Linked DNA regions of Elephas maximus indicus. Each later gene encodes a partner of the first gene's protein in a complex. Links are inferred from orthologs where the notes say so. Each region holds a gene or a part of one and is shown in the gene's direction. Other genes may lie near its edges. The genes, in order: cytochrome c oxidase assembly factor 1 homolog, NDUFAF1, TMEM126B and surfeit locus protein 1.

Region 1 (7,542 bases):
AACCACTGTGCCACCAAGGCTCTTTTCTTTCTGTAAGTGCGCCTTTAATGATAGTCCATTCATTTTATTTTATCTTATTGCTCTGTGTAAATATACCACCATGTATTTATTTATTCTCCTGTCAATGAGCATTTGAATTGTTTCCAATTTTTTTTTCTATTTTGAACAGTGCTGCTGTGAACAGTCTTTTGTACATTTCCTGATGCACCTGTACAAAAGTTCCTCTAGGGTATATATTTAGAGTGGAATTAATTGGGTTGTAGGATATTGCAAGATATTCCAAATTGTGATTCAGGTTTGTTATACCAATTTACATTCCCATTGGCAGTATATGAGTGTTTCCAAATGATCTGTATCCTTGCCAACATTTGACATTGTTGTATTTGTTTATTTTTGACCAATCTGTTGGACATACAATGTTATTCTGTGGTCTTGATTTACACTTCCCTGATTAATAGTGATATTGAGCACTTTCGCATATGTTTACTGCCATTTGTCTTCTGTGAAATGTCTGTTTAATGGTTCTTATATGTTTGTTGGGTTGCTTGTTCTGATTGGTTTGTAGGATTAACTTAGACATTCTGGATACTATTGCTTGGTTATGAATATAAGAGTTATTCTCTCCCAGCTTAGGTTTTACTTTCTCTATACTGTCTTTTGATAAACAGAAGTTCTTTAATTTTTTTTTAAATAATATTTTATGTGTTTTCACTAAAGGTTTACACCCATTCAACAATTTCTTCACAAATTGTTCAGTGACATTGGTTACATTCTTCACAGTGTGTCAGCATTCTCAATATTTTTTGTTATGGTGGCTCTGTTTCCATTAATCTAATTTCCTTGTCCCCTTACATTCTCATCTTTGTTTTAAAGTAATTATTGACCATATGGTCTCATAGAGATCATTTTTTAAAGGAGCACAGTACTCATGGGTGATATTCTTTATTTTTGAGCTAATCTATTACTTAGCCAAAAGGTGACCTCAGGAGCTAGTTTTGGCTCTAGGTTTAAAGAGTATCTCAGGGCAGTAGTCTAGGTGAGTCTTCCAGTCTCATCTGGTCCAGTAAATCTTTTTTTTTTTTTTAGGAATTTGAGTTTCTGTTCCACATATTTCTCCCATTCTACCAGGGTTCATCTATTGTGGCCCTGATCAGAACAGCTGGTAGTGATAGCCAGGCACCCTCTAGTTCTTCTGGTCTCAGGGTAGATGAGGCCATGGTTCATGTAGACTATTAGTCTTGTAGTTTCTCCTTTGAGTCTTTGGCTTCCTTCTTTCTCCTTTGCTCTGAATGAGTATAGACCAATGTATGTATCTTAGATGGTCGCTTGCATGGTTTTAAGATCCCAGACACTATTCACCAAACAAGGATGTAGAGCATAAGCTTTATGAACTGTTGTTGTTAGGTGCATTTGAGTCCGTTCCAACTCATAGTGACCCTACGTACAACACGATGAAACAATGCCCAGTCCTGTACCATCCTCATAATTGTTCCTATGTTTAAGCCCATCGTTGTAGCCACTGTGTCAGTCCATCTCGTTGAGGGTCTTGCTCTTTTTCGCTGACCCTCTACTTTACCAAGCATGATGTCTTCTCCAGGGACTGGTCCCTCCTGAAAACTCATCTAAAGTACGTGAGACAAAGCCTCACCAACCTCGCGTCAAAGGAACATTTTGGCTGTAACTTCTTCCGAGACAGATTTGTTTGTTCTTCTGGTAGTCCATGGTATATTCAATATTCTTCACCAACACCATAATTCAAATGCATCAATTCTTCTTTGATCTTCCTTATTCATTGTCCAGCTTTCATATTCATATGAGGTGATTGAAAATACCATGGCTTGATTCAGGCTCACCTTAGTCCTCAAAGTGACATCTTTGTTTTTTAACACTTTAAAGAGGTCTTTTGCAGCAACTATGTTCTGAACTATATTATGCCAATTGACTGAGATGTCCCACAAGACAATGGTTCTAATCCTTTAAACCCAGGAAATCAATCCCGCAAGGTGTTTGGTTATGTCTAAGAAGTACCCGTAAGTGTGCTCCCTATTTGCTTAGAAGTTCTTTAATTTTAATGTAGTTAAATTCATCAGCATTCTTCTTCTTGATTAGTTATTTTTATGTGTTCTTTAAAAAATACACACATTTGAATTATGTTGTTGGCAAAGAATAATAAATATACTATGGACTGCCAGAAGAACAAACAAATCTGTCTTGAAAGAAGTACAGCCAGAATGCGCCTTAGAAGTGAGGGTAGCGAAATTTTGTCTCACATACTTTGGACATGTTATTAGGAGGGACCAGTCCCTGGAGAAGGACATCATATTTGGTAAAGTAGAGGGTCAGCAAAAAAAAAAAGGAAGACCCTCGACGAGATGAATTGACACAGTGCCTATAACAACGGGCTCCAACATAACAATGATTGTGAAGATGGCGCAGGACTGGGCAGTGTTTTTTTCTGTTGTACATAGGATTGCTATGAGTCGGAACTGACTCAATGGTACCTAACAACAACAACAACATCTAAGAGAATGAATAAAATCAAATGTAGTATATACATAGAGTGTAGTACCATGTGTAGCATGTATTAGTACTTCATTCTTTTTTATGGCTGAATATTATTTTATTGTATGTATATACCACATTTTGTTTATTCTTTCATCTGTTGCTGGATATTTGGGCTGTTTATTCTGTTTGGCTGTTGTGAATAGTCCTATTGTGAACATTCTTATACAAGATTTTATTTGAATATCTGTTTTCATTTCTTTTGGGTATGCACCTAGGAGTGAAATTCCTGGGTCATATGATAACTCTGTGTTTAACATTTTGAGGTACTACCAAACTGTTTTCCACAGCAGCTGTGCCATTTTTCATTTCTACTAGTGTTATACAAAATCTGCTGCTGTAGAGTCGATTCTGACTCATAGCGATCCTGTAGGGCAGGGTAGAACTGCCCCATAGGGTTTCCAGGGTTGTAAATCTTTTTTTTTTTTTTTTAAATAATTTTTATTGTGCTTTAAGTGAAAGTTTACAAATCAAGTCAGTCTCTCACACAAAAACCCACATACACCTTGCTACACACTCCCAATTACTCTCCCCCAATGAGACAGCCTGCTCTCTCCCTCTACTCTCTCTTTTCGTGTCCTTTTCGCCAGCTTCTAACCCCCTCTACCCTCTCATCTCCCCTCCAGGCAGGAGATGCCAACATAGTCTCAAGTGTCCACCTGATCCAAGAAGCTCACTCCTCACCAGCATCCCTCTCCAACCCATTGTCCAGTCCAATCCATGTCTGAAGAGTTGGCTTCGGGAATGGTTCCTGTCCTGGGGCAACAGAAGGTCTGGGGGCCATGACCACCGGGGTCCTTCTAGTCTCAGTCAGACCACTAAATCTGGTCTTACGAGAATTTGGGGTCTGCATCCCACTACTCTCCTGCTCCCTCAGGGGTTCTCTGTTGTGTTCCCTGTCAGGGCAGTCATTGGTTGTAGCTGGGGACCATGTAGTTCTTCTGGTCTCAGGATGATGTAGTCGCTGGTTCATGTGGCCCTTTCTGTCTGTTGGGCTCATAATCACCTTATGTCCTTGGTGTTCTTCATTCTCCTTTGATCCAGGTGGGTTGAGACCAATTGATGCATCTTAGATGGCTGCTTGCTAGCATTTAAGACCCGAAACGCCACTCTTGAAAGTGGGATGCAGAATGTTTTGTTAGTAGATTTTATTACGCCAATTGACTTAGATGTCCCCTGAAACCATGGTCCCCAGACCCCTGCCCCTGCTACGCTGGCCTTCGAAGCATTCAGTTTATTCAGGAAACTTCTTTGCTTTTGGTTTAGTCCAATTGTGCTGACCTCCCCAGGGTTGTAAATCTTTAGGAAAGCAGGCTACTGGGTCTTTCTCCTGCGGAGTGGCTGGTGGGTTCAAACCACTGCCCTTTTGGTATAGTAGCCAAGTGCTTAACCACTACATGCCACCAGGGCTCCTTCCACTAGTATATAAAGGTTCTTAGTTCTCCACATCTTTGCTGACACTTGTCATCTGTCTTTTTGATTATAGCCATCCTAGTGGGCGTGAAGTGGTATCTCATTGTGGTTTTTAGATTTACATTTTTCCTGATGTTGAGCGTCTTTTCATGTGTTTTTGAACCGTTTGTATAGCTTATTTGGAGAAATGTCTATTCAAATCTTTTGCCCATTTTAAATTGGGTTATTTTTTTCTTTTTATTATTGAGTTGTAAGTGTTCTTTATATATTCTGGATACACATCCCTTGTCAGATATACGATTTACAAATATTTTCTCCCATTCTGTGAGTTGTTTTTACTTTCTTCATGGTGCCTTTTGCAGCACAAGTATTTTTAATTCTGAATCCAACTTATCTACTTTTTCTTTTCTGACTTATGTTTTTGATATTGTATTTAAGAAACCATTGCCTAATGCAAGGCCATCGAGATTTACTCATATGTTAGAAAGGGACCTAACTTTTTCTTTTGGTATGTGGATATCCAGTTGTCCCCCACCATTTGTTGAAAAGACTATTCTTTTTATTGTATTGGTACTCTTCTCAAAAAAATCAACTGACCATAAATTTAGGGTTTATTTCTGGACTCTCGGTAGTTATTTTTAAATGGCAATTTCACTGTGGTGTTAATAGCTCATTGAAGAAATAATTATTAAGAATATCCTGTACACCGGGTGTTCTTCTAGGTTGTGGAGTTATAGCTGCGAACAAGGCAAAATCTTTGACTCCTTGCAATGTACATTTTCGTGGAGAATGAAAAGTGCTGTGAAGAATATAAAACACGTTGGGAGATTAAAGGATAGGTGTGTATATGTGTGAGGTTTACATTGCTTTTTTCACGTAGCCCTCTGTCTGTCTTTTAGGGCATTTAGCCCTTCCTGGGGTGGCTCAAACTGTTAGCATGTGTGTGACTACTAACCTAAAGGTTGGTGGTTCATACCCCCCCCCAGTGGTACCATGGAAGAAAGAACTGGTGATCTTCCATAAAGGTTCAAACCCACCAAGAAAATCCCGTGGACCAGTGCTAATCTGTACATACATAGGGTCTCTGTGAGTTGGAGTTGACTCAGCGTCCACAGGTTTGATCATACATTCATAATACATAAAATACAACTTTTTACATTCGTCTCATCTTCCCAACTAGCCTAAATACTTCTCTGTCACTCCATCATGTCTAGATATAATAGGTGCTCTGTGGGTATTTGGTGAATGAACAGATTAATAAGTTTAGGTAAATGTTTTATACACACACTTTCATATATAAACATACTTTTAAAATATACATGTTATTCAGAACTGTGAGGATAGTTTGGAAATAGGGAGTAGAATCCATTGTTTTGCTCTAGATTAGACCTTCTTTTTAGCTAGAATCCCAGACTGTCTGTCTCTGCTTCAGCCCAGACGTCTTCTTACCTCAGCTAGGATTCTGAACTCCTTTGCGTCCCCAGCTCAAGCAGTTTTCAGCCCTTGCTCTGTCCAGAGTGGGTGCTTCAGCACCTCTCTCCCTTCTTCTATTTCAATCAAGCAGTGAACCAGCATTTCAAGTTCTGAACGAAGACCAAAGTTGTGGGCAAGTCCCAGGTAAGAAGAGATTAATTGATGTGAAACTGACTTATATAACTACTTAATAATTTTCATGTGCTCAATTTGATATGTTGTAAATACGAAGATCTGACCTGATAACTCTATGTTTAACATTTTGAGGAACTCCCAAACTATTTTCCACAGCAGCTGTACCATTTTGTGGAGTTTTCCATGCAACTGCATCAATTTTCTTTGTAGCACCTTTCTTCCCCCTCTTCCTGGTTCATAGTGACAAAGTTTACTGCAGTTTCTCCCTAGTTTGTTTGTTCCTGATCCTGGTTATTGGCACTGTCACCCATCTCATCCTTTAAGGTGGTGCTGTGTAAGGCGCATTCGGTATGTTTAATAAGTATTTGTTAACGGAATGATTGAACGAATCAGGGTACTAATGAAGGCAGAACGCCTCAGAAATACTGAGCTTGAGGCCAGAGGCCTTGCCCGTTGTTATGCTTCTTCTCACAACCAACTCTGCTCCTGAAGTTGTTTGAAAGCACACATGTCTGAATAGGGCTGAGATTTTGCATCTTTTTTTTTTTTTTTTTTCCTGAAAGTAGAAGAGAGTGATTCATGTGAATGTTTATTTACTTAAGGGATAATTTCCTATTTAAACCGTAGCAAAAGGAGCCATTGTGGCGGTGTTTTTTTTTTTTTTTTTTAAATCATTGAGTGTAAATGATTTCCTCCAAACTGCAGAATCCTTAATTATTGATTTTCTTCCATTTCCGTTCACTCTACTGTCTTTTACGGTCTTTTAGCTTGGGGTCTGAAGCAGAAGGCTTTGTGATCTGAAGTCAGTCAGACATCCAGCGTAGACCGAGAGCTCGGATCTGTGGGGGACAATGTCTCGGCTCCCCCCTTCCGTTGACGCCGTAGTTCACAGTAGTCACATGATGAGTGGTTGTTGTTGTGTTAGTTGCCGTGGAGCTGATGCCGACTTGTGGAGTAGACTGCTTCGTAGGATTTTCAAGGATGTGTCCTTTCAAAAGCAGTTTGCCAGGCCTGTCTTCCCATGCCCCTCTCGATGGGCTCCATAGAAGGGGTTCACTCACGACAGTAACGTGTAAAACTCCCAGTGCAGGGCCAGTGTGCGGGGGGTACTCAGTGAAAATTGATTCCTTTTTCCTTTCCTTGTTTTTGGATTATAGAGTAATTTAGTGTCAGAGTGGAATAAAGCTTACAGCCAGCCTCAGAAGAATATTGTGAAGTGAGTAGTTCCCATATATGACTACACATATTCCCGATAAATTTGCAAGAAAAGAAAAAGCCATGTGAGAACTTTTGAATTTGGAAGTACTTAAAAGTTAAGTGGAAATAAAGATTGAGGACAAGAAGGGAATACTAGCAGACTGATAAATGTCTGTTGATTTAAACTGACAGGAGGCCTGTTCTGCTTTATGCCATATTCCTCTCTGCTGTCTGGAGAGCTGCTCCCAGGTGATGGCCAGCCCTGGAAGCTGGGCTGTTGAAGCTGTTCATAAATGTACAGCAATATTCACTGTCAAGTCAGTGATTTGACTAGAGGTGGAACAGGGAGGAGAGGTTTAACAGCATCAGAAGTCATTAAAGTCAAATGTCATATACACTTTAGAAAAGTTTTAAAAATTGGTTAATGTTTTTGCCCTTATTTCAAGTCATCAGTTTGTTTGATTTTGGCGTTTTTTGAAAGAGATAGAGTAATAGTACAGAAGAAAAGAAGTGCCCTCTAATTTTAACCATCTGTGTATTTGTTCAAGATTATACACTGAAAAAAGCTAAAGTGTAATTAAGACCAGGAGTATACAGTAAGTAGAAGAAAAGGGCTGTGCTTCTGTTGACACTGAAACGTCGGATTGTGCAAAGTAGCAAGCTGATTCCACAGTGATGAAAATGCAAATGCAATAACCTGTCAAGATCATCTGGAGAAAAAATTGTGCTTTTTCCCACAGTGTGCACTTAAAGCAAACTACA
Region 2 (7,529 bases), on another chromosome or scaffold:
GCTGACTATTGTAATTGCTGTCAATAAGTTTTACACTTGTAAAAAGTTGAATTGGCAAAAGTTGTGTGATAAATATTTACTACAATGACAAAAAAAAAAGGTAGCTGCTGAGGCTGCTTATGTACAAGCAAACACCTCATGGGATTTGGTTCCTTGGTTTGGAGATTTAGGGGCATGGTTTCATGGGACAGCCCAGTTAACTGGCCTAATAACATGTTCAGTGCTTCTGTTCTAACTCCTGGTTTACTGCATAGAGTCTGGGGTCTTAAAAGCTTGCGAGCAGCCATCCAATGCACAATTGGTCTCTATTCACCTGGGGGAACAGAGGAAGGACAGTCAGGTATATAAGGAAGACATGGAATGTGTAGCTAATTGCCTCCACAGAAAACTGCCTCCTTTGCCATGAGACCAGAAGAACTAGATGGTGCCCGGCTACCATTACTGAACATTTTGATCAAAGACTCCATAGAAGAATCCTGATCAAAAGGTGGAAAATGCAGAACAGAATTCCAAATTCTCATGGACTCTAGACTTTCTGGAGCCAGGTGGGGTAGATGAACCCCTGAAACTATTGCCCTGAGATAATCTTTAAACTGTAAACCAAAAAATACACTCTGAAATCATCTTAAAACCAAGCAATCATTTTGCTTAACTAGTAAAAAAGGTCTGCCTTGAGCACTATGCTCTTTTAAGAACTATCTATACGGGATCAAATTGACAACAGCAACTTGAAAGATTAGATAGGAACCTTACAGGGCAGTGAGTTTATGTTAATAAAGAACAGCTCAGAAAAGGAAGGTGAGAATGGATGCACAACTTGAAGAATATAATCAATGTCACTAAATTGTAGATGTAGAAACTATCAAATTGGTGGATGTTTTGTTGTGCATATTCTCAACAACAAAATAAATAAAATTTAGGAAAACAAAAAACGCAGAGTCCAAGGCTCTATCCCCAGCGGGTCAGATTCAGTAGATGTGGGATGGAAGCCTGTAGAACCTCCTGCCCAGGCACCTTCTGACACAGGTGGTCCTCAGCCTACCACAAGGGGAAAAAAAAAATCCCTAGAAGGTTCACCTGTATCACTTTCAGTAAGGACTATGTTGAGGTAATATTTCTGACATAATGGCTTAGATTTCCATCTGGAAAACCCAGAGACAAAGTATATTCTTAGTAACTATGCTCCACTCACACACTAAACACTCAGAGATTTGCCACAGTTTGTATCTTCTTGTAAGACAGCAAAGCTGATCTTTCATTTCCAATGAAGATCCAGAACTAGACAGAAGCAGACCAAGGCATCTTGGTCAGGAAAGATCCCAAAGGCATTAATTTTGTTCTGAGTATTCCTAAAGACCCCTAAGCCTAGCTGACTGTGAATTTCTGCTGAAGGCCTCTGGAGAAATCTTCCAGAGGGCAGAGATCTTCGTCTTTGATTCCCTTGAGGGCCTGACATGGTGCTGAACAGATAGTTAGAAGGTACTGGTGTCTCTGGTTTTTTTTTTTTTTTTTTCAGTGTCTCTGTTAGGATGTGCAGAGGGAATCTTGATCTGGTTCCCACCTGATTACAAGACTGCCAATGAGTGGTTAAAGTTGAAAATGCTGCTAAAATGCATTAGGTATTACTTACAAATTTCATGCTAGTTTATTTTTACAAACAGATATTTAGAGTTGGATTTAAAGCTGCAATCCCCTCCAGTTCCCACTTGGAAAAGCTCTTTGTGGATCAGGCAAATCTCTACCACAAAAGGAAGCTCTCAACTTATTTCATTCATCAGAATTCTGTGGAGAACGACTAAGGACAGGATAATTTGCAGCTTAGTTCATTCATCGTTAGAACAGATGTCTTGAGAGTGCTTTACCAAGGAAGACCCCTTAATAACCTTTTAGGCTGATGTACCAATTTCCTCTAAACTACTCAGTGTACTTGGTAAACATGAATTCTAGCAACCTGGAAAATGGCCAGGAAAAATTATTCTCATTTTGTAATATGAAAAATTAGAATATCAACAGATTGAGCCCATACAGCAGGAGGAGTAAAGGCCTTGTAGTAGTAGTACAGATTTAGGTTCAAATATCAACTCCACTACTTTCTAGTTGTATGAAGCTGTGAAAGTTTACTTAACTTTTTCAGTCCCCCTTTTCCTCATCTGTAAAATGGGGAAAATAATACCAACTTCATTATAACTTAAGAACTTGATAATATAAATAAAGGACTTAACTACGGTGTCTAGTTCATCCTAGGCACTATGTAAATGGTAGCTGATGTTATTACCATTCTAGATGAGGAGAAAATAGTAAAAATAGATTCTAATCCTCCTAACTGCCAGTCTAGAATTATCTATCAACTGAACTTTTACAGTCAAGGCTATAGTTTTAATATTTTTGTTAAGTATCTGGAGGCTTTCAATGAGAACGCTTTCAATTTACCCTTTCGGTTGCTATCCCAAAACAAAGTTTCTATCCCTCTGATAGTTCTCCACAGGCCCCATTACTTCCCCACCTCCCTACCACTCTTTTCAAAACTGCCTTATTTTCTTCAACATCTCTCCAGTCCTTCTTCCTTACAAAGTCCTCTCTTTCAATTCCTTAATGTTTTAGTCCTGAGGTACCTGGCCTAATACAAAGGATGTCCAAGAAGACATTTACAGAGAAACTTTATAGTCTGCAAATGTTTGTACCCACGATGATTCTTACACTCGATTCTTTCAACAGCCCAATCAGGATAGACAAAGCTGGTGTTATATCCTGATTTGTTAAAGCCAAAGACACTTACCTAGAAAGTAGCACTGCCCAGCCTAGAACTCAAATTTGTAGACACCAAGTTCAGTAATCTCTCTACTCAATTTATAAAGCTATTACCTTCTTGGAAACCCTGGTGCCGTAGTGGTTAATGCTACGGCTGCTAACCAAAAGGTCGGCAGTTTGAATCCGCCAGGCGGTCCTTGGAAACTCTATGGGGCAATTCTACCCTGTCCTATAGGGTCGCTATGCGTCGGAATCGACTCGATGGCAATGGTTGGTTTATGGGATTACCTTCTTGCATATTCTTTCTTTATATCATTGCTTATAAAACATGATGGAAAATCCTATTCGTACCTCCCGTTATCACTAGAGTAGGGCAACAAAGGACAGCTTCCTCCCTACAGTGTTTTCTAGAGAATACAGGCAGGTCTAGCAACCCTAAGACACTGAGGCCAAAAGTTACTTTCAATGCTTCCTGCACAATCTTAAAGTCAGAAAGAATTCTGGGGATGCTGCATGACAAGGATCGAGAGGCTTCTGCCACAGCCCCTCCACACCACCCTACACAGTTCTCCACTTCTGACAGTATCTGCCCTCTTTCCTCCGCCCCAGAGTTTTCTCCAGTCTGACATCCTAACGGGAACCCTTCTCAACCACAAACGACCCTAGTCGCTAAAGAGACTCGCGCCCACAGCTAAGTCTTCCTCGTCAAGCATGGCAGAGGTTCCCCGGAACATTTACAAGCGTCCCTCCTCTCCGTCTGCACCCCCTTGTCGGAAAAACTTCATCTTCCAGAGTCCACACCTTCTCGCCCCCTCCCCCCAACGCTGACCGCCCCACCCTTGCACCTCCTCCAAAACCTCCCAGTCTCCTGGGTTGGCGGGCGATACTTCCTATGTCTCCGGGCTCGGATCGCCCGGCCCGCAGCACGCCGCCCCGGCCGGGCCCCAGCGGATCACGGCCCCCTTCATTCGCCCGAGCCCAAGGCCCAGCAGCCCGGTCTCTGCCCCGCCTCCCCGCCCAAGGCGCCAAGTCCTCGGGGCTCCGTGTCCAGGCCCGGGCCGGACGCCGAGGGCCCCGGCGCTGGGGGGAACACAGGAAGGGGGCGGCAGCGGCGGGCAGGGCGCGGGCCGGGCTGGGCGCTCGGGTCGGGAGGCCCCGGGCCCGGCCAGCTCCTGGCCGCCGTGGCCCCGACTCAGCCCTCCCGCCCGCCAGCCCCGCGCCTCCGCGGCCTGTCCTCACCTGATCCAGGTTCTCGTCGCTGCCGCTGTCCTCCGTGTCCGAGTCGATCACTACCCGACCTTTCCGCTTCTTTACCATGGTGGTCCCCCGGCTCTCACGCCGGACGCCGCCCGGACTCCCCTCTAGCCCGCCTGCCAGTGGGACCGCCACTGCCGCCGCCGCCGTCGCCGCTCGACCTACACAAAGGCGACCGCGCATGCGCGCTCCGCTCCGCCCCTGGCTCCGCCCACTTCGTAGCACGCCGTTCGCCGGCGCCCCGCCCCATCCCGCCCCCGACGCAGCGTGGGAGGCGGGACCGCGCGCGGACTTGGCTCTGGGCGGAGGGCGGCCGTCGCTTGCGTAACGTCGGCCTCTGGCGGACTTGGGCGTGTCGCTGTAGCCGAGTGGAAGCTCGGCGGCGTCCCCACTTGGCGAGGGCTGGAGCCTCCGAGGTCCGCAGAGGGCATGGCCCCTGGACCCTCTGTTAGCCCAAGACTGGAACCACTCCTGAAGCCAGCTCTTCAGACAGGGATTGGACTGGACTATAGAATAGAAAATGATGCTGGTGAGGCGTGTGCGTCTTGGCTCAGGTAGACACGTGAGACTCTGTGGGCAGCTGCTGCCTGGAGGGGAGACGAGAAGGCAGAGGGGGACAGGAGCTGGCTGAATGGACACGGGGAATACAGGGTGGAGAGGAGGGGTGTGCTGTCTTGTTAGGGGGAGAGCGTCTATAAGTTAGCGAGGCGTGTATAAGTTTTTGTATGACAGACTGACTTGATTTGTAAACTTTCACTTAAAACACAATTAAAAAAAAACAAAAAAACAAAGAATCTGAGTCCACTCTGAGCAGGCTCACTCATCTCCAGCCTTTTAAGTGTCAGACACCCATTGAGGGATGGAGCCTGCCAGGGCTGTGCAAGTGACAGGTGATCTGGGGCCCGGAGGATGCACCTGAGTTAGCCCAGAGAGTGGGGGGGAAGGCTGTTCCAGGCACAGAGAACAGCAGGGGCAAAGGCCCAGTGATCATACAGAGTGTTGGGTTGAGGGAGCTGAAAGTTCATTATGGTGGGTGCAAAGAGTATGGTGTGTGGGAATGAGGTGAGAGATGACGGCGGAGGAGGGACGCAGCGGCCACATCTTTCAGAGCCTGATGAACAACATTTAAGAATTCGAACTTAAATACTGAAAGATTTTAAACCGAAGAAAGACATGATTAGATTTGTGTTTTTAAAAGATTACTCTGGCCGCAGTATGGAGAATGCATTAGAAGGGAGTGAAACTCAGGGTAGGGAGGCCACGTGGGCTGTTGGTATCATTTTGGCAAGAGATGATGGTGTCCTGAACTAGAGAAGAAGCAATGGGAACGGAGGGAAGTGAGCAGATTCTTAATAATTTGGAAGGTAGAACCCCCAGGACTTAGAGATTAGTTGGGGCAGGGATAAGAGAGTGCTAGGTCCCCAGATAAGGCTCAGATTCTGGTTTAGGAAGTGTGTGGCTAGTGGGCCCTTAGTCAACATAACACAGGAGAGGAGAAGGTTTGGAGGTCTGATGTGTGTAGGGAATGAGTTCAGTTTTATACATGTTGAGTACAGTTGATAAAAAGGTCAGTTATCTCAGTATCTTACCTGGTGGTGTGACAGATGATCACCCTGGAGAGATCTGACCTCTGGTCACCGTGCCCTTCCCAGGCCAGAGTTGCTGCGCTTGTCCATTCATTGTCACAAGTTGGTAAGAGAGTACCAAAATGTGTCCAAGTGGATCACCTAGGTACCAAAAACCTTCCGCCCTGCTTCCACTGTGTAACGGCAGCCCAGTCTTCTTTCTGATCAGGATCAGTTTCTCCTGCTGAGATGGTGACTCCTTTTCTTGCCTATACAGGAGGGACCAAAGTGCCCAAGTGACAGCTGTAGCTTAAAGTTCAATAGGATCCTTGCTGTGTTCCCTTGTGGAGGTCTTCCTCCTTTGGGGAGCACTTTAATCTTGCAGAGCCCAAAGTTGTGGGGCAGGAAGCACAAATGTCCTAAGTGGGTCATTGGGAGTGATGATAAGTGAGGCCACTCCTGCTTCTACCCCTTACGAACCAGTCCCATGTATTCTCACTACTGGGGACAAAGCATCATAAAAAGATCTTTGATTCAAGGTGTATACTGCACCCTGAAACTGGCATCCTAGCCTCATAAAGTAGTGCCTCTGAATTTGTGCTTCAACAGGCCATTTCAATGCTCTATTAGGCAGCTTCTGAGTAATGTGGTTTGATGGTTTAAAACAGATCTGCAAATTATTTGACACACACACAAAAAAAACAAAAAGCAAAAACCCATTGCCATCGAGTCAACTCTGACTCATGACCCTATAGGACAGAGTAGAACTGCCCTGTAGGGTTTCCGAGGAGCAGCTGGTGAATTCAAACTGCCAACCTTTTGGATAACAGCTGAGCTCTTAACCACTGTGCCACCAGGACTCCTCCCTTCAAAAGACAGAGCTTAATTCCTTTCCCCTTGAGCGTGAGCTGGTCTTGTGACTCACTTCTAACAAATAAAGCAGATAAGATGGCATGCGACTTCCAAGACCAGGTCATTCAAAATACTGTGGTTTCTTTCTTCTCTCTCTCATTTTCCCTGATTCCTAGCTCATTACAGGAAGTTAGCTGCTGTGTTGTAAGGACACTCAAGCAGCCCTGTGGAGAGATCCACTTGGCTAGAAGCTCCTACCAATAGCTATGTGAATGAATCCTTTTGGAAGTGACTCTACCAGCCCCAGTCAAGACTTCAGATGGCTGCAGCCCTGGTTAATATGTTGACCACAATCTCATGAGAGACCCTGAACCAGAGCCATCCAGCTAAGCTGCTCCCAGATTCTTGATGCTCAGAAACTATGTGAAATAACAAATGTTTCTTGTTTTAAGTCACCAAGTTTTGGGGTAATTTGTTATGAAGTAATAGGTAACTGACACACGTGGAATGCAATATAACCGTGGTCATGAGCCATACCTCCTTTGCTGTAAAGCAGGCACTCTGGACTGATACAGTATTATGTGGGACCCCATGTCAGGGCACCGAGCACTTCATAATCCCTCTGATAGTAATGCTGGGAGAGAATCAAAATACATGTGTTTTGTTTTTGTTTTTTTTCCTGTCACAACAGATCAGTGGCCTTCCATGGTGGGAGGATCCAATGTTTTTAACTTGCCACCAAGTGACCAGCTAATCTCTTTGAGGAATACTGCCCTGTAGGGGCTCAACGTTAGTCTCTGTTGGCGGCATGTCAAACATTTGATGACGGCAATGGGTAAATCAGCCTTGAAATGTGAGAATCCATGCTGTTGGACCCGTGTACATATTCATCTCTGACACTGTGGCCATTTATGTGCCAATCGTACCAGCACTGGGGTGGCCAGTGATAGAGGCTTCCTGATGTCAACAGGCCAGGTTACCCTGTCTGTTTGATTATTTGTTGCCTTTTCCATGGTAGAAGCTCTCTGGTGTGCATTAACATGTGAAACAAAGATTTCCACAGGTTGTGCCCTCTCCCGTATGTTCATCGTTCATCTACATGCCTTTACT
Region 3 (7,596 bases), on another chromosome or scaffold:
CTTTAAAATTACAGTAAGTCTAGCTCTTCCATCATATCTACCGCATTTAACAATGAAAAGAAAAAAAAAGTCAATGTGACAGTGGACACTGCTCTCTATACAACAAACCTAGGCTGCACTTTATAATCTGTCAGCTTGTCATACTGTAGTGGCTTGTGGGTTTCTATGATGCTGGAAGATATGTCACTGGTATTTCAAATACCAGCAGGGTCACCCATAATGGATGGGTTTTAACAGAACTTCCAGATTAAGACAGACTAGGAAGAAAGGCCTGGCAATCTACTTCCAAAAATTATTCAATGAAAATCCTATAGATCACAACAGAATATTGTCCAGCATAATGCTGCAAGATGAGCCCTGTAAACTGGAAGGCACTCAAGCATACCAGTGATTGTGAACATGGCATAGGTCTGGACGATGTTTTGTTCTGTTGTACATGGGGCTGCCACGAGTTAGAGCTGACTCAGTGGCAACTAACAACAACATACTTCATAATTTATTTGTTTTTACTTACAGAAATAGTACAGATAGTAAGCTTAGCCACTTAAAAAATATAATATACCTTGTTTGGCTAGCTGTCTATAGTATTCTAATATGTACCTTAATACTAACAGTCTTAAGATATTAAAAATAAAATAAAATGTTTCTCAAACTAGGTCAGTTCAGAAAAATAGATTACATAATACATACACTTTAGTATAGTCAAAATATATATTTATTTTGCTAATTAGAACTTGTTCATTACCTAAAAAATTTGATCCATTATAATCAATTCATTGTTAGAGAGAAGGAAGAAAAGGACGGAGGGAAGGGAAGGGAAGAAAAGAGAAAAAAGAAGAAAGAAGGAAGGGAGGGTGGGAATAAACATTAAATTATTTCTCATAAAGTATTATAATTTTCAATAACTTGGCAATTTTTAGAACAGTTCCTTTAAAGATAGAAATTTTTAAGAAGCCGTCTATTGGGTTTAGAAACCTTAAGTTCACCCTTGGTAAGTTATACCTAGAACATCAATTACCCTTCCTCCTCCTCCTTTCCATCTACCCTTTTATCCCTTTCTCCCCTCTCTTCTCCCACTTTTCTTGCTCTCTCCTCCCTCTTCTCTCTCTCTCACACACACACCCCACACACAATGTATTTGATTCAATTATTAGCTAGTCCAAAACGGACACTGCCTAGAGTAATTTGTGTCTATAAATTTAGGTGGGAAGAATTTAAAGACAGAGCAAACTAAATGACTTGAAGAGCCATATCGTTTATTAGCTACATTCACAAAACCACTCTTATTCCAGATAAACCAACTGTGTCAAGTGTGCACAGGTGTGGCTCCAAGATCTCAGAGGGGGCTACTTCCCTCAGTGATAGTATCAGGGTGGGGGAGGTGAGGGTGAATGTGAGGGTAGCTGGGACAATCCCAGTCTTAAATTCCAGTGTACAAAGAACTGTTCTAGGCATTGCCAAGGTTTCATGTATCATTTTCCAACACTACAGGTACTAGCTCAGATGAAACATCTCACTGATTACAATTTTCCTCAATACACCTTCCAAACTCACAGATAGAAAGATTAAACACGTTTTAGGGCCAGGTTGCACTACTTTTGGTCACTGACAATGGTAGGAAATGGCTCAGGATCCAGGAAATTTACCGTTCACCGAGAACTTCAGTTTCAGAGTGTAGCAACTCCAACAACTGGCCAATATTTGGATCTATGCTAGCCCAGTATAGTAAAGTTCAAGGGTGTTCAAATAAATTTTGATTCAAAACTCTCGAGAAAAATTCTTTATAGTTGATCTGATCTTCCATATCACATTTAAAAAAGAAAGTAGTATCGCTAAGAAATTTAAGTACAGATCTAGGCTAATGTGAATCCCCAGGGTCTGACCAATAATAGACCATACTTCAGAAACCCACTGGATATTGATTCATTCCCCGTGATAAAAGTTGTTGGGAGGAGGTGAAGGGAGAAGCTATGGGTTTGCCTCTTTTGGGTAACTTGCCAATTATGCCACTGGATAAGGCATGTATCTAGAAAAATACAACAGTTAACCAAAGTTGTGCTTTACTACAAAAAGTGAAGATTTACATTAGAGTATAAATAAATGTGAAATTTATTTTTTAAATCAAAAGATAAATTGTAAATTTCTAAGTTTGTTCAGGGCAAACAAAATTACTTTGCTATCTCTTGCAACTATGTAATTAGCTTGATAAATATTAAATCCATGGGGAAAAGCTCCACTGTACCGGTTTGTTTGTTTTTTAAAGATTGATTAAAAGTAATTTTTAACGATCTAAGAAAACAAGCTAAAAAAATCCCAAATCTGTGGCGCTGAATATATTCTTATTATAAATGGTGATTTGGACAGCCTGATTTACAAAATCACAAACGTCTATAATTAAATACTATGTTGTTGTTGGTTACCACCGAATTGACGCCAAATTAAATACTATAGTCCTACTTACTTTTTCTTTAGCAAAATATTACTGAATGATGTACCACTGAATAATCATTACCATAGATATTTCCCCAAACCAAAATTTTGCCCTCAAATGGAATACAATTTAAATCATAAATAGCAGAGCCAAAAAAGGGGAGAAACAAATATTATAGAGGAAGCCTCATAGCCCACCTTTCCTCTTGACTGGCATTCTTGGGTCTTTCCACTTCCACAGGATTCAAGATATCTTTTCACGTCTCAGCTTGATCCAGCTGGATTTATGCCAAGAGCCAGGTAACTGTTCCAAACCACTTCACTGTTCAGTTTTGAAATCCAGGCTGAGTCTTCTATTTCACATAAAGAAAATAATAATGTATTTTTTCCTCAGTTAAACTTTTGACACTGCCCACAGGGTTTAGAGAAAAATAACTTCTGAGTTTTTCAAGTTTTCCGATATTTATAAAATATTTATTCTGATTTAAAAAACTGAGAAAAGTATTGTAGACATAGAAAATGTTATTAAAACTCCTCTTCAGGCAGCAACATTTTGGAAGTTCAATGACTAAGTTCAGTTAAGGCACAAACCAAATTTAGACAGATGTTTCATTCTATACATGATCAAGTTCAAAGATGAACTAGTTGATTATAAAGACCCTCAATTCTTTACAGAGAAATTTAACCTTACCCGTCTCCCTCCCCCGCCAAAAAAAAAAACACTGGTGTCTAAAAAGGTAGGTGAGTTTGAACAGTTCGCTGGGGCTAAACAAACTGGAAGGCCCCTTTCTGTTTACTGGACCAGAAGTTCCGGATCTCACCCCCTCAGTCAGACAGGATCCAGCTTGCTGTCACTTTCATTTTTTTCTTCTGTGCTCTGCAAGCCCCCCACGGCTTGTTCTTTAATGCCCCTCTGATTCTGATCCTCCCATGTATTAACCGAGAGGATTGAAAAGAAGGAAAGCAATCCCTTGGCATAGAGACATTAAAGTGACAGTGCTACTCAATGGGCACTTGATGCAGGATGAGTTGGCGAAGCAGATTTCTTCACACTGGAGTCATTCACATCATGCCATCTCTTCGCATCCAAACAGCTACCTATCCGGCAAGGAAAAACACAGACTGTTCGTCAGGAGAAGCCAAACCTTCCCCCGAAAGGTGTTTTCAGAGACGCTGTAGTTGTATTAGGCATGTAAGCATAAGCTATGCAAACGGTCCGCGATTTCCTAAATGAGAGTTCAGCTGCTTGCCTTCCACATCCACTCTTTCTCTTAATCTTTTTCCAAACTACCCACCTTCCTTTTGCAAAAAAAAAAAAAAAAGAGAGAAGAAATCTCTCTGCCACCGCTGCCACCCCGGCCCACACCCCGTTCTTATATAGAAGAGCACTGAAATGTTCTGCACCCTCCACGCGATGAAGTGTTTCCTCAGGCAGGAGGAACAGCAGCACTAAATATTATATAACTCTCGAATTTGGCTTTAAGACATGGAGTCTGGAGGGTCGGGGGTTGCTGGTCTGGGAGATACTGCGTGCCCAAAAGAGCGCCTGGCCTCCTCACAGCGCTCCCCAACCCGAAACACCGGCTGACAAGGGGGTCTTCTGGAGTAGGGGAGCGGGGGGTGCCAAATTTCTCTCTGGTTCCTTCCCAAGCGGGGCGAGAGAATGGAATGTGAGGGGACTAAAGAACGGGGAAAGGAGTCAGACGGCTGCGAGGGGAGGAAGCTAGTAAGGGGTACTCTGGCGGCCCCGGGTGGCCGGTGAGGGTTCTAGAGACGAGGTGCCCGAGAAGCCGGAGCCTTAACACAAGGACCAGGCCATAGGGAACGAATTTCCTCAGAGACTGAAAGGGGCAAAGAGCTCGACCCCAGCTAATGGAGCGCTCCTGAAGTGAGGACGGCGGGCAGCAACATGCACAGGTTCGGCTAACTCCACTCTCCCCTCAGGATAAGAGGAGAAAACACCACCGGGCTGACAAAGGGCCGGGGATGGAATGCGGGACTAGCAGAAGGGCGGGCTCACTATCGAAGCCAATGAGTGGCCGTAAATTCTAGACGCCATGGAGGGCGCGGCTTTCGACTGGGTGGGGGCGGACCCAGGCTGAGAGCAAGAGGCGTGAGCCTGCACCACTTCCCGCCCAGGGTGTTCTGGGCGCGGGTCCACCCATGGGTCACGTGAGCCGCCAAAATGGCGGCGCTCGGGCGGGCAGCTGGGTCTCAGCTGGGGGATGTAAGTGTGGTGCCGGTGGGAGCTGGGGAAGCGCCCAAGGTAGGCGGAAATCCAGAGTGGTGTGGGTCGTGACTCTGGGGACTCTCCTGAGATGATGCACGTAAAGGGGATTTGAAAAACAAGAACAGCTCCAAGTCCACGCAGGGTGCAACCAATTATGCTCCTAGTTCCTATTGGAAAGAGTCCGAGAGACTACCAGTAAACCAGCTGCCTATAGAATGGATTCCTACACGTGACAATCCCATATTTGTCAGAGTAGAGCTGTGTTCCATAGGATTTTCAATGGCAGATTTTTCAGAAGTAGATTGTCAGGCCTTTCTCCCGAGGCACCTTGAACTTCAAACCGTTTGTTTTCCCCACCCAGGGACTTTGGAGGGAAGACATAAAGTCTAGTCCTGATGGTCTGCAGCTTGTTTTCTCTTGCCTCTGGGCCTTTGTACCCTTCTTTCCTTTAACCCTGGTGGTGTAGTCGTTAACCAGTAGACTGCTAATCTAAGGGTTGGAGATTGGAACCCACCAGCAGCTCTGCAAGAGAAAGATGTGGTAGTCTTTTTTCATGAAGACCATAGCCTTGGAAACCTTATGGGGCAGTTTTACTCCGTCTTGTAGGGGTGCTATGTGTCTGAATCCTGTCTACTGCAGTGGGTTTGGTTTTGGAATAGTCCCTGCCCCTTTTCTCCAGACTAACCTCCCTCAATTCTTCTCTCCCGACCTAACCCTTCCCCCTCCCCCAATTCTGGGATCCTTGCCAAAATAACCTTTCCTCCAGGAAACCTTCGCCCTTGGTAGGTTAAGTAGACCTTTTTTGTTTGATTGTTTATGGCAACCTCATTCTGCATTTTAATTGTCTGCTTTTTTTGTCCTGATTTCCGCTATTGGTGGGCTCCTAAGGACATGACTATTATTTGATTATCCAGGTGTCTGTCATGTGTGTGTCATATACCAGGTGTTCCATAAATGATGAGTGAATGTTAAATAAAATTCTGAAGGTCAGATGAAATAATACACATAAAAAGCACTACAAAAACCGTAAAAAGCATTGCAGACTATCCCAGTTGCTGTGAGTCATTCTGACTCATAAGCGCACTTGTGTAAGTGTGGTGGCCAGTTGAGTGACTTGGACTAGCTCATTTTTAGATAAAATGTTGATTAGAGCAAAATCTTTACATTTCAATTCTTGTAAAAGTCTTTCTGAAAATTACCGGTCTATTTTTTTTTTTTGCTTTCCCGAGTGTAATGAAGACAATGTTTTGTATTGACAATGTCTTGCAAAGAACTAGGCACTCAATAAATATTTGTTCTGTTTCAGTATTTTAGGATCATAATCTTGGTATCTCTTTTCTCTGTTCAGAGCTGGCCGTATAAACTGAATAGGAGATTGTTGTAAGGTATTGCCTGAAGTTTTTTTGTAAGGGATGGAGAATTTCCATGTAGTGGCCAACAATAAAACAAAAATGTATCCAAGGTGTCTGGTAAATCATCACGGTACTGACATTTGCCTTTCTAGTACATTAAACAGGTTGGATACTAAGAGTTTGGCTGCTAACCAAAAGGTTAGCAGTTCAAATCCACCAGCTGCTCCTTGGAAACCCTATGGGGCAGTTCTACTCTGTCCTATAGGGTCGCTATGAGTTGGAATCGATTTCGATGGCAACAGGTTTTGTTTTGTTTTTTGTAGACATTACTATCTTTTCCTTTCCATTTTCAATTCGGATATCAGAGAGAGGCAAAATCTTAACTATAAACCAAAAAAAAAAAAACCCATTGCTGTCAAGTCGATTCTGACTCATGGTGACCCTGTACAATAGAATAGGGCTACCCCATAGGGTTTCCAAGGAGCAGCTGGTGAATTCGAACTGAAGACCTTTTGGTTAGCAGCCTGAGCTCTTAACCACTGCACCACCATAGCTCCCACAGTGAAAGAAACTGGTCCATTATTACTCAGTGTGTAAAACCGTAAGAACGTTCAGAGGCGCCCATACCTTCATTTTGATGCTATGGATGGCCTTCAGTAGTTAGGATGTTGGAACAGATCACACATTCAGCAAACATGTATTTTAGTGATGTTGAAAATGTGTCCATTGACCACTGGCATCAGAAGCACTTGAGGTGCTATTAATGCAGATTTCTAGGACTCACCCCATTCCTATTGAATCTATCTCCAGAGGGAGCTCAAGAGACTGCATTTCAAACAAACTCCCCACTGAAGGTTGAGAGCCACTGACTTCGTATCTTCTGTGCTCATTGTGCATCCAGCCTAGTTGCTGTCCATTTAGTTCTGACTCATGGCAATCTCACCTGTATCAGAGTAGAACTGTGCTCCATAGGGTTTTCAATGTCTGATTTTTTGAAAGTACATTGTCGAACCTTTCTTCAGGGGTACATCTGGGTGGACTTGAATCGCCAGCCTTTCAGTTAGCAGCTGAGCACATTAACCATTTTTGCACCACTCAGGGATTCCTCATTGTGCTTGTTAGTTACCATCCAGTTGATTCCAGCTCATGGAACCTCCATGTATGCAGAGTACAGCTACAGTCCATCGGGTTTTCAAGGCTGTGACCTTTCAGAAGCAGATCGCCAGGCCTTACTTTTAAGGCATCTCTGGATGGGTTTGAACCATTAATCTTTCAGTTATCTTAACCATTTGCTCCACCCAGGGACTCCTTGTTGTGCCTAATCCACTCTAATTCTCTTGCCCAGGACTTCTGAAATTTGAGATTAAGTATATGCCCTTGACTATAAAAGTTGTTAAAACGTAGATTGATGTAAATTTGTGAATGGACCGTAGATTTTTATTTATTCACTGGCTGATATGGAGGATATAAGAAAAAATAGGGAGAGGAAAAAGCACTGAATTTTGCATCGAGACTTTCCATTTACCAATATAATATGTAAACATTTGCAACCACAAGTTAGGATTTGCTAAAAATGTCATGTTT
Region 4 (7,708 bases), on another chromosome or scaffold:
TGCCACTCAGATGCCCCTGTGGAGAGAGGGACTCTGCCACAGCATCTCAACATCAGGGCCATCTCTTGGTCCACACGGGAAGACCACCCATCAAATGACACTGGCCAAGCCAGTCTCTGGCCATTTTTTGGTAGGGTGATGGGTCCTCCTTGGCCCTGTGCTTGAAGACTTGTTTGTGGAAAGCAGGACTGCCCCGAGCAAAGCAGGCCAAGTGGCGCCATCGCTGCATTCCACACCAGTGCCTGGGCTGTGGCTGTGCCTGTCTCCCCTGGCCCTGAGCGGGCTGGTGCTGGGGACATACCATCTACCAACTGGTTATGGCAAAACAACTTCTGAAAACTTTTTTGCTTTACATGGGAAACAGGTATAAATCTCATTTTATGCTGTGTTTTATATCTTAGTTGTGTTTGAAAACGTTTTGATTTTTGGAAACATATCAAAATAAATAATGGCATTTGTTGTATGCAGTGTAATGATCTGGTCCTCGAGCCCACACGGGGTCCCATCTGGCCACACTGTTGTCAGCTAGGCTAGTTCCCCTCCAGGACACTTAGGATGCTTCCCTCCGGACGACAGCCTCCTGGGGTGGGGGCGGGACTCCTCCATCTTGGCCCTGCCTCGAGGGCAGCAAGGGTGGGTGGGGAGGGCACACAACACTGGGTAGCCAGGAGCAGGAAGACAGGGAGGTGCCTCAGGGATTTCTCTGGAAATTATGGAGATGTGCGTTTTCCCAGCACTTCATCAGCCCAACTGCTTCTTTGAGCTAAAGCTCTTGGGTCTGCAGTGGTGACTCTTCACCTTTTTCTTCAGTGAGCCCAGCTGCTTCTGTGGCACAAACAGAATCCCAGTTATGAGGGCCTCTCTGATCTGGGGATGGAGCTCCATGAATCTCTGTGATTCGGGCTCTTTACCCTACCACACCCCACACACATCCAGAGGTGCTGCTCTGAAACTCCCCACCAGCTGTCCTGCTCCACTGTGTGTGGCTGCCAGTCAGAGAGTCCCCATGGAGCATACTAAAGGGCCACGCTCAGCATTTCACAGATTTGCAGAAAGACCTGCAACTTCTCTAGCCCACGATCCTGTTTATCTACCAAGATCTTCATTGTCGAGCCTACTGCAGAGATAAAGGATGGTACCTAGTGATTAAACACCTTCTCAGATTTCCTGGGTAGCACAAACAGTGAAATGTATTTGGCTGCTAACTAAAAGGGTGAAGATTAATGTCCACCAGAGGCATCTTGGAAGAAAGGCCCGGTGATCTACTTCCAAGAAATCAGCCATTGAAAACCCTGTGGAGCACAGTTCCACTCTGACACACACACGAGGGCGCCATGAGTTGGAATTGGCTCCATGGCAATGGGTTTGGTTTTTCTTCCCAGGTAACTTTTCCAAAATGGCAAAAACAAAAACAAAAAACCCTGTAACTCAGTTCACTAGTCTCAGACCAGCGGTTTTCAAGCCGTTCTGTGGAGTCCAGTGCCGTGGAAGGCACCCAAGCAGCTACAACCAGGAAGCAAGTGGGAGGCCCGCCCATCCCCCCCAGTCAGAGCAGTCCCAGCTCGCTTTCATTTATATGTTGGCTTGCAATTTCACGTGTGGAAAAGATCCTATATTTTTTAAAACAATTTGAAAACTGCTAGCGGAAGCTGTTGCGATAGCGGCCCTGGGAGTTGGGTAGAGCAGCTCACCTTCCCGCGCTTCCGGACCAGCACCTGGGTGGTGGCCACCCCCTCCCCTCTGCTCCCGTCGTCCTCTCTCGGGGGCTGCATTGCATCATCCTCGTTGCTGTCAGTGCTGCCCCCACTTTCAGCCCCTCCTAGGTCCTCTCTGGTAAACAGCTCAGCTGGAAGGAGTAGGGAACCGGCTGAAGCTCAGGCTTCTAAAGGCGTTAAGAGGCGAGCGGGCAGCCAGGGAGGATGACACGCAGTGGGAGGGATGACAGCCAGAGCCACTGATTATGGTGGGCAATGGGAGCGTGGACAGCCTCGGAGTCCAGAACTCACAGCACAGCAAAGCACAAGGGTGGAGAGCAGGCCGTGCGTGGGTCCGGAGGAGGGCGTGCCTGCTTACATGGGTACAGGTCTGTCATGCTGTCGTCACTCTGGGCTCCTCCCTCATCACTGGACGCAGGCTCCCAGAAGTCTCCCGTTCCGCCAGGCGGCCTGCCACCGTCCTGGTCTTCCCGCCGCCGCCTCCTCTGCAGCAGGCAGGCCGGGACGTACTCCACCCCATGCAACTGGCATTCCTCATCTGGGGGAAACAGGCCTGTTAGCACACACAGCCCTTGCGCTCTGAGCCGACCCATGATGCTGCTCAGCCAGGGCCCCAGACCCCCACCCCATAGCAGCGGGTCCATGCCACCAGCCCAGCTCCCACCAGGCATGGAGAGGGGATGGGAAGCACGGACTGTGGCCAAGGGGCAAGAAGAGGGTGCAGGTCTACCGGCCGCCACCTTCCCTTCCTCTGGTTCCAGCCAGGCTACAACACGCCGTGGCTGGGGGTGTGCTGAGCAGCCCGAGGGCCAGATGAGCCAGGCCCAGGTAGGGCTGGCATGCGGCTCTCAATGCAGCTCGACCTGGACGTGACACCAGCTTGTCACCAGCCCATCACCTGCAGCCTGGTTGGAGTCTTCTCTCAGGCATGGTGGCCCAGAACCCCACCCTAAATGGGTGGCTCAGTCAGTGGAACTGGGCTGCCTGGCCCTTGCCAACCTTAGGCTTTGAACAGAGGATCTGCGAGTCACCGGTCTCCTCACACGCTGACAGCCCAGGGAAGCTGAACAGCCGGCGTGGGGAGGAGGCTCTTTGATTCAGGAAGGGTGTGGGGACCAGGCTGCTGTGTCCTCAACATGGGGAAGTCCCTCTGCGCCTTCCCACAGCCCCCAGTCCATGCCTCTCAGCAACTGCAGCCCTGGGACAGGAGTTGGAGCACCCCCGCTTGCTTAAGACCCAGCGGTGCACCCACCATGTGCACTCCTGGCTGTGGCCCCACAACTCTAGGGCCTGCCCCTCCAACCTTCCCCACCCCTTGCACGCTGGTACAGCTGCTGGCACAGCCACACTCTCTGTGCCTCAGAACTTGCACAGACCCCCTCTTCTCTCTGTGACCCCCACTCCTCACATCCCTCCAGCCTCAACCTGGAGAGAGACCCACGGAGAGCCCCCCAGCCCTTCCGTTCAGGGCCGGCCCTCTGGTTGGTCACTCCCTTGGCAGTGTCTCCTGTGCTGGCTGAACCACGCTGGCAAGTGCTTCTGAGTCAACTTCTTGCCCCGCATCCAGCTCCCACTAAGCTGAACCCACACGGTCAGGACTGGTGCCCCAAACACCACGTGACTGAGGGTGGCTGAGGCTGGACTCTGCCTCCCAGGGCGCCCTGCCCTGCGTTCTCTGAAGGATACCCACGGTACTCACACTTCTGCAGTGCTCTCTGGAAGCGGCGGCCCCGGGTGTGCCTCAACACATGCTCCGGGCACTTGTTGATGTGCCGCAGGGTGAGTTTGCAGAACAACTGGCGCCTGAAGGACAGGGACACCTTGGTTTGTGGGACAGTTCGCAAGAAAGGAGCCAGGCCAGTGGCTCGCCAGCCCGGCTGCATCTGAGAATCACCAAGCCCATCCCCAGAGGTCTGGTGGAAACGGTCTACAGCATGCCTGGGTGTAGGGATTTTCCAAACTCCCGAGCGAGTCTATGCTGCAGCAGGCAGGCACCACAGCAGGGCTCAAGAATGAGATCATGCCTGCTGAAGACACGGCATCAAGTAAGGCAGAGAGCTCCAGGCACGGAGCACCTACCACCACCCCTTGCTCACCCTAAGCCTCGTCAGCCATCACACAGCTAAAGAGCTCCTTTCAAATAGATACGACGCTGACATCTCTTGGAGCCTTACGAAATAGGACACAGTGGTCCTGCTCCTCTGTAGACTGGACAGAACACACATGACAAGCCTCACACCCCGGGGATCACAGGTGACTCACAGCACCGGCCTCCCACCTGGAACCCAGGTCTCCTGACTCATGAAGAGACCTTTCCTTGAGAGGAGCGCTGAGCCAGACAGGAGGCCTGGGCTTAGTTACCGGAGTATGCTACCCCTTCAGCAGCCAGACTTGGCGCAGGTAACTCTTCTCCCCCGGCGTGGGGAGAATAAGACTCCTCAGCGCCTGGCACAGAGCCCGGGAAGTGGCACCTCCACAGCGGAGGCCCTGGAGATGGTGGGCTCCCTTCCAGGGGGGCTCGGAGGTGGGGGCCCTGGGAGCACACCGAGGTGGCTGCCCCCCTCTGCCCCATGTGGGCGGCCCCGTCGCCCCACGTGGCGCCCACGTACGGGTTCTTGGTGCTGGGCACGATGTGCGGCTCGAACTCGGCGTAGTCGAAGGCGGGGAATGCTCGCACCAGGCGCTGGTACTTCTTGCCGCGAGTGTAGACCTGGAGCTCGGGCAAGCGGCAGGGCAGCTCGTGGCCCGTCAGGGTGCACGTCACCTGCGGAGGGTGGCAGCACGGTCAGAGGCCCGGCTCCCGCCCCGCGTCCCCGCCCCGCGCCCGCGCCCCCGTCCCGCCGCAGACCTTGGTGCCGCCGGGCTCGAGCCGCAGACCCGGGTGCTGGCGCAGGAAGACGCGCACCTCGGCCGGAGGCTCGCCCATTTTCGGCCGCCGGCGTAGCGCACACGTGGGCCGGGCGGTCTTGGCGGTGCCCCGGAAGCAGATGGGCCCGCGCCCCGGAAGCGCTCGTGGGCCGCTGGGGGCGATGGTGGCGTGGTGGCTGGGGCCCGCGGGGCTGAGGCTGCTGCTGCTGCGTGCGGCGGGCGCGGGGCCAGTGAGCCGGGCGTGGAGGGCGGGGAAGAGGGGGCGCGGGGCCGGGGGGGTGCGGAGGGCGGGGAGGAGGGGGCGCGGGGCCGGGGGGGTGCTGAGGGCGGGGAGGAGGGGGCGCGGGGCCGGGGGGGTGCGGAGGGCGGGGAGGAGGGGGCTCAGGGCCGGGGGGGGTGCGGAGGGCGGGGAGGAGGGGACGCGGGGCCGGGGGGGTGCGGAGGGCGGGGAGGAGGGGGCGTGGGGCCGTCAGCCCACCCTCTATCGCCGCAGGCCCCGGGCAGCGCCATCGGGAGAAGCGCCTTTGGGGCACCCCGACGCCCAGGTGAGGAGTGTGTCCAGGGCATGATTTAGGGACAGCCATCCTGCTTCCTGTCGTGCACGTTACAGGGGTGGCCTGGGGATCAAAATAAAGTCAGTAACTCCGGACTGAATGCAAACTCTATGTGGGAGAGGCTCTTCGCATTTTTTTGAAATGCATTTGGTCAAGCCTTGGTTTTGTGCGGATACGGTTGTCGTTGTGTGTCAAGGAGTGGATTCTAACTCACGGTGATCCTATAAAACGAAACAAAAAAAAACATTGCCATTGAGTGGATTCCCACTTATAGCGACCATATAGGACAGAGGGAAATGTCTCATAGGGTTTCCAAGGAGTGGCTTGTGGATTCGAAGTGCCGACTTTTTGATTAGCAGTGGTAACTCAACCTGTGTAGGATCGTACCAAAGATCCCCAGTCTTTCCTTCCATGGAGCAGCTGGGTGGGTGCAAACCACAAACTTTTAGTTAGCAGATAAGTACTTAACCGTTGTGCCACGAGGCTCCTTGCCAATACTGTCAAAACCAAAAACCAAACCTGTTGCCGTCAAGTCGATTCTGACTCATAGCGACCCTATAGGACAGAGCAGAGCTGCCCCATAGAGTTCCCAAAGAGTGCCTGGTGGATTCAAACTGCTGACCTTTTGGTTAGCAGACGGAGCTCTTAACCGCTGTGCCACTAGGGTTTCCCGCCAATACTGTAGCGAGTGCTTTATTATCACAACAGGAAGGCTCAGAGAGGTTATGTACCTTGCCCAGCACCTTACCCAACAATTGAGCGACAGAGGCAGGCCTCAAACCCAGGGCTCTGAAGCACATCATTTATGTGCCGCCTCTCAGTGTCCAGCAGGGTCTTCTGCAGCGCGTAGAGGGCTGTGCATAAATGAAGGACCCTTGAGAGCCTCTCCCAGCCTGCTTTTCTGCCATGCCCAAGGGTCACCCTATGAGAGCAAAAACGCACCTTCGTGTGTACTGTTCCATCTTTAAATTTCTGATGAGCAATGAAAAGGAGCAGCTTTGAAGAGAGCTTTGTAAACCATCGTCTAACTTCAGGGCAGATACCGTGTTTCCCTTCAGAGCACAGTAGCCAGTGGTGCCCATAGCTGCTTGCTAAAGGTTTCTTGAGCATATGAATGAATACCCAGCTCCTCTTAGTACAGTAGGATATATCTTAGCGCATTCTTGATCAAAAAAGCATGCGGTGGTTACAGAAGTTATGCAGGGTCGGGGTTGGCGACAGCCCTGGGAGACGCCCTGGGTCTCAATTTAGTCAGCATTTCCGGAGCCTGTGCCATGTGCCAGGCACTGGGCACTGAGGTGGGACCTGGGCTGGTGGCCTGTTAGCTCCTGTGCCATGTTCTCTTAGGCAGTATCGGCAGAGGGAGAATTCTTGAGGAATTGGCTGCTCCAGTCCTGTTTGTTCTGGGCTCTGACCAGTGTCGATGTTGTGCAGCCAGCACCGCCCACCTCTCTTGCTCCCTCTAGGGGTGGCCTGGAGGCCAAGCAGGCGTGGTGGTTCTGCAGCAGAAGCACGAACCACCGAGGCGGAGGACGACTCCTTTCTCCAGTGGCTCTTGCTTCTCATCCCTGTGACTGCCTTTGGCCTGGGGACATGGCAGGTAAAGGCTGGTGTGTAACCGGCTGTCTCTGAGCCTTTGGTCTGCTGCTGTCTGCTCGAGGTTTGCATATGCTGTGTTTGTAGGTCCAGCGTCGGAAGTGGAAGCTGAAGCTGATCGCGGAGTTAGAGTCTCGAGTCATGGCTGAGCCCATCCCTCTGCCCGCAGAGTGAGTGTGTGGCCGTCTGCCCAGGCTGGTCAGCAGCGGAGCCCCAGCTTCTGCTTGCCTCCCAGCCCTTTTCAACGGGGCTTTGTCAGCCACATCCTGGCCCTCAGATAGGAGCCCACCAACCTCAGTCTCTCTGCTGGGTTTCCTCTTGGAATCTAACCACCCTGCGAAGCTGCCTGAGGCTGTCAGACAGATACAGGAACATCTTGTCCTTGAGCCCTGGTGGCTTTCACCCTGTCTCACGTGCAGCGAACCTGAAGCCCCCTTTCCCATGCTGACAGCACCATAGAGCAGCAATGCTTAGCTGCAGGTGAGGGTTGACAAAAGGGGTCCTGGAGTGAGAGTGTTCTTTTGAAAAGGTGCCCCAAGTGATTCTGCTGCCCCTCCCATGTGGCATCAGAAGGCTGGGCTGAGGAACGCCTGTTAGAGGGCACGCCCTGCCACCCCAGCCCCCTCTGTGCCTTGCAGTGTCAACGTTCACTTGTCTGGCCCTTATGGGCTTCGTAGTTTGCAGCCATGGCCTTTGAGGGAGTTTTCCTGCTGGGCCTCGTGTGGGCTCAGCTCCCTCTCCCTCTGCACCTAACCCAGCGGCCCCCTCTCCATCTCTCCACCTTAGCCCTGTGGAGCTGAATAGTCTGGAGTACAGGCCAGTGAGGGTCAGGGGGTGCTTTGACCACTCCAAGGAGCTGTACATGATGCCCCGGACCATGGTGGACCCGGCCCGAGAGGCCCGGGATGCTGGCCGGATCTCATCCTCGGTCGAGAGTGGGGCCTACGTCATCACCCCCTTTCACTGCTCTGACTT

The links.
Region 2: cytochrome c oxidase assembly factor 1 homolog (region 1) and NDUFAF1 share a complex: the UniProt entries of both Homo sapiens proteins name them as parts of the mitochondrial complex. The link is inferred for Elephas maximus indicus from reciprocal best matches to the Homo sapiens genes COA1 and NDUFAF1.
Region 3: cytochrome c oxidase assembly factor 1 homolog (region 1) and TMEM126B share a complex: the UniProt entries of both Homo sapiens proteins name them as parts of the mitochondrial complex. The link is inferred for Elephas maximus indicus from reciprocal best matches to the Homo sapiens genes COA1 and TMEM126B.
Region 4: cytochrome c oxidase assembly factor 1 homolog (region 1) and surfeit locus protein 1 share a complex: the UniProt entries of both Homo sapiens proteins name them as parts of the MITRAC (mitochondrial translation regulation assembly intermediate of cytochrome c oxidase complex) complex. The link is inferred for Elephas maximus indicus from reciprocal best matches to the Homo sapiens genes COA1 and SURF1.

What each region holds. Positions count from the first base shown.
Region 1 is NC_064826.1:106,440,813-106,448,354, reverse strand, and holds the start of cytochrome c oxidase assembly factor 1 homolog, read left to right. Parts: upstream 1-4,366; 5' UTR 4,367-4,764; coding exon 4,765-4,814; intron 4,815-5,536; coding exon 5,537-5,592; intron 5,593-7,542. UniProt on the Homo sapiens protein: Component of the MITRAC (mitochondrial translation regulation assembly intermediate of cytochrome c oxidase complex) complex, that regulates cytochrome c oxidase assembly.
Region 2 is NC_064828.1:14,642,071-14,649,599, forward strand, and holds the start of NDUFAF1 (complex I intermediate-associated protein 30, mitochondrial), read left to right. Parts: upstream 1-4,356; 5' UTR 4,357-4,431; coding exon 4,432-4,556; intron 4,557-7,529. Other genes in the region: RNA polymerase-associated protein RTF1 homolog, read right to left, coding at 3,988-4,185. UniProt on the Homo sapiens protein: As part of the MCIA complex, involved in the assembly of the mitochondrial complex I.
Region 3 is NC_064825.1:36,040,770-36,048,365, reverse strand, and holds the start of TMEM126B (complex I assembly factor TMEM126B, mitochondrial), read left to right. Parts: upstream 1-4,589; 5' UTR 4,590-4,615; coding exon 4,616-4,696; intron 4,697-7,596. Other genes in the region: DLG2 (disks large homolog 2), read right to left, coding at 2,629-2,647. UniProt on the Homo sapiens protein: As part of the MCIA complex, involved in the assembly of the mitochondrial complex I. Participates in constructing the membrane arm of complex I.
Region 4 is NC_064827.1:5,193,563-5,201,270, forward strand, and holds the start of surfeit locus protein 1, read left to right. Parts: upstream 1-4,641; 5' UTR 4,642-4,702; coding exon 4,703-4,813; intron 4,814-5,076; coding exon 5,077-5,128; intron 5,129-6,603; coding exon 6,604-6,737; intron 6,738-6,820; coding exon 6,821-6,903; intron 6,904-7,519; coding exon 7,520-7,708. Other genes in the region: SURF2 (surfeit locus protein 2), read right to left, coding at 742-825, 1,692-1,846, 2,074-2,253, 3,415-3,518, 4,325-4,479, 4,564-4,641. UniProt on the Homo sapiens protein: Component of the MITRAC (mitochondrial translation regulation assembly intermediate of cytochrome c oxidase complex) complex, that regulates cytochrome c oxidase assembly.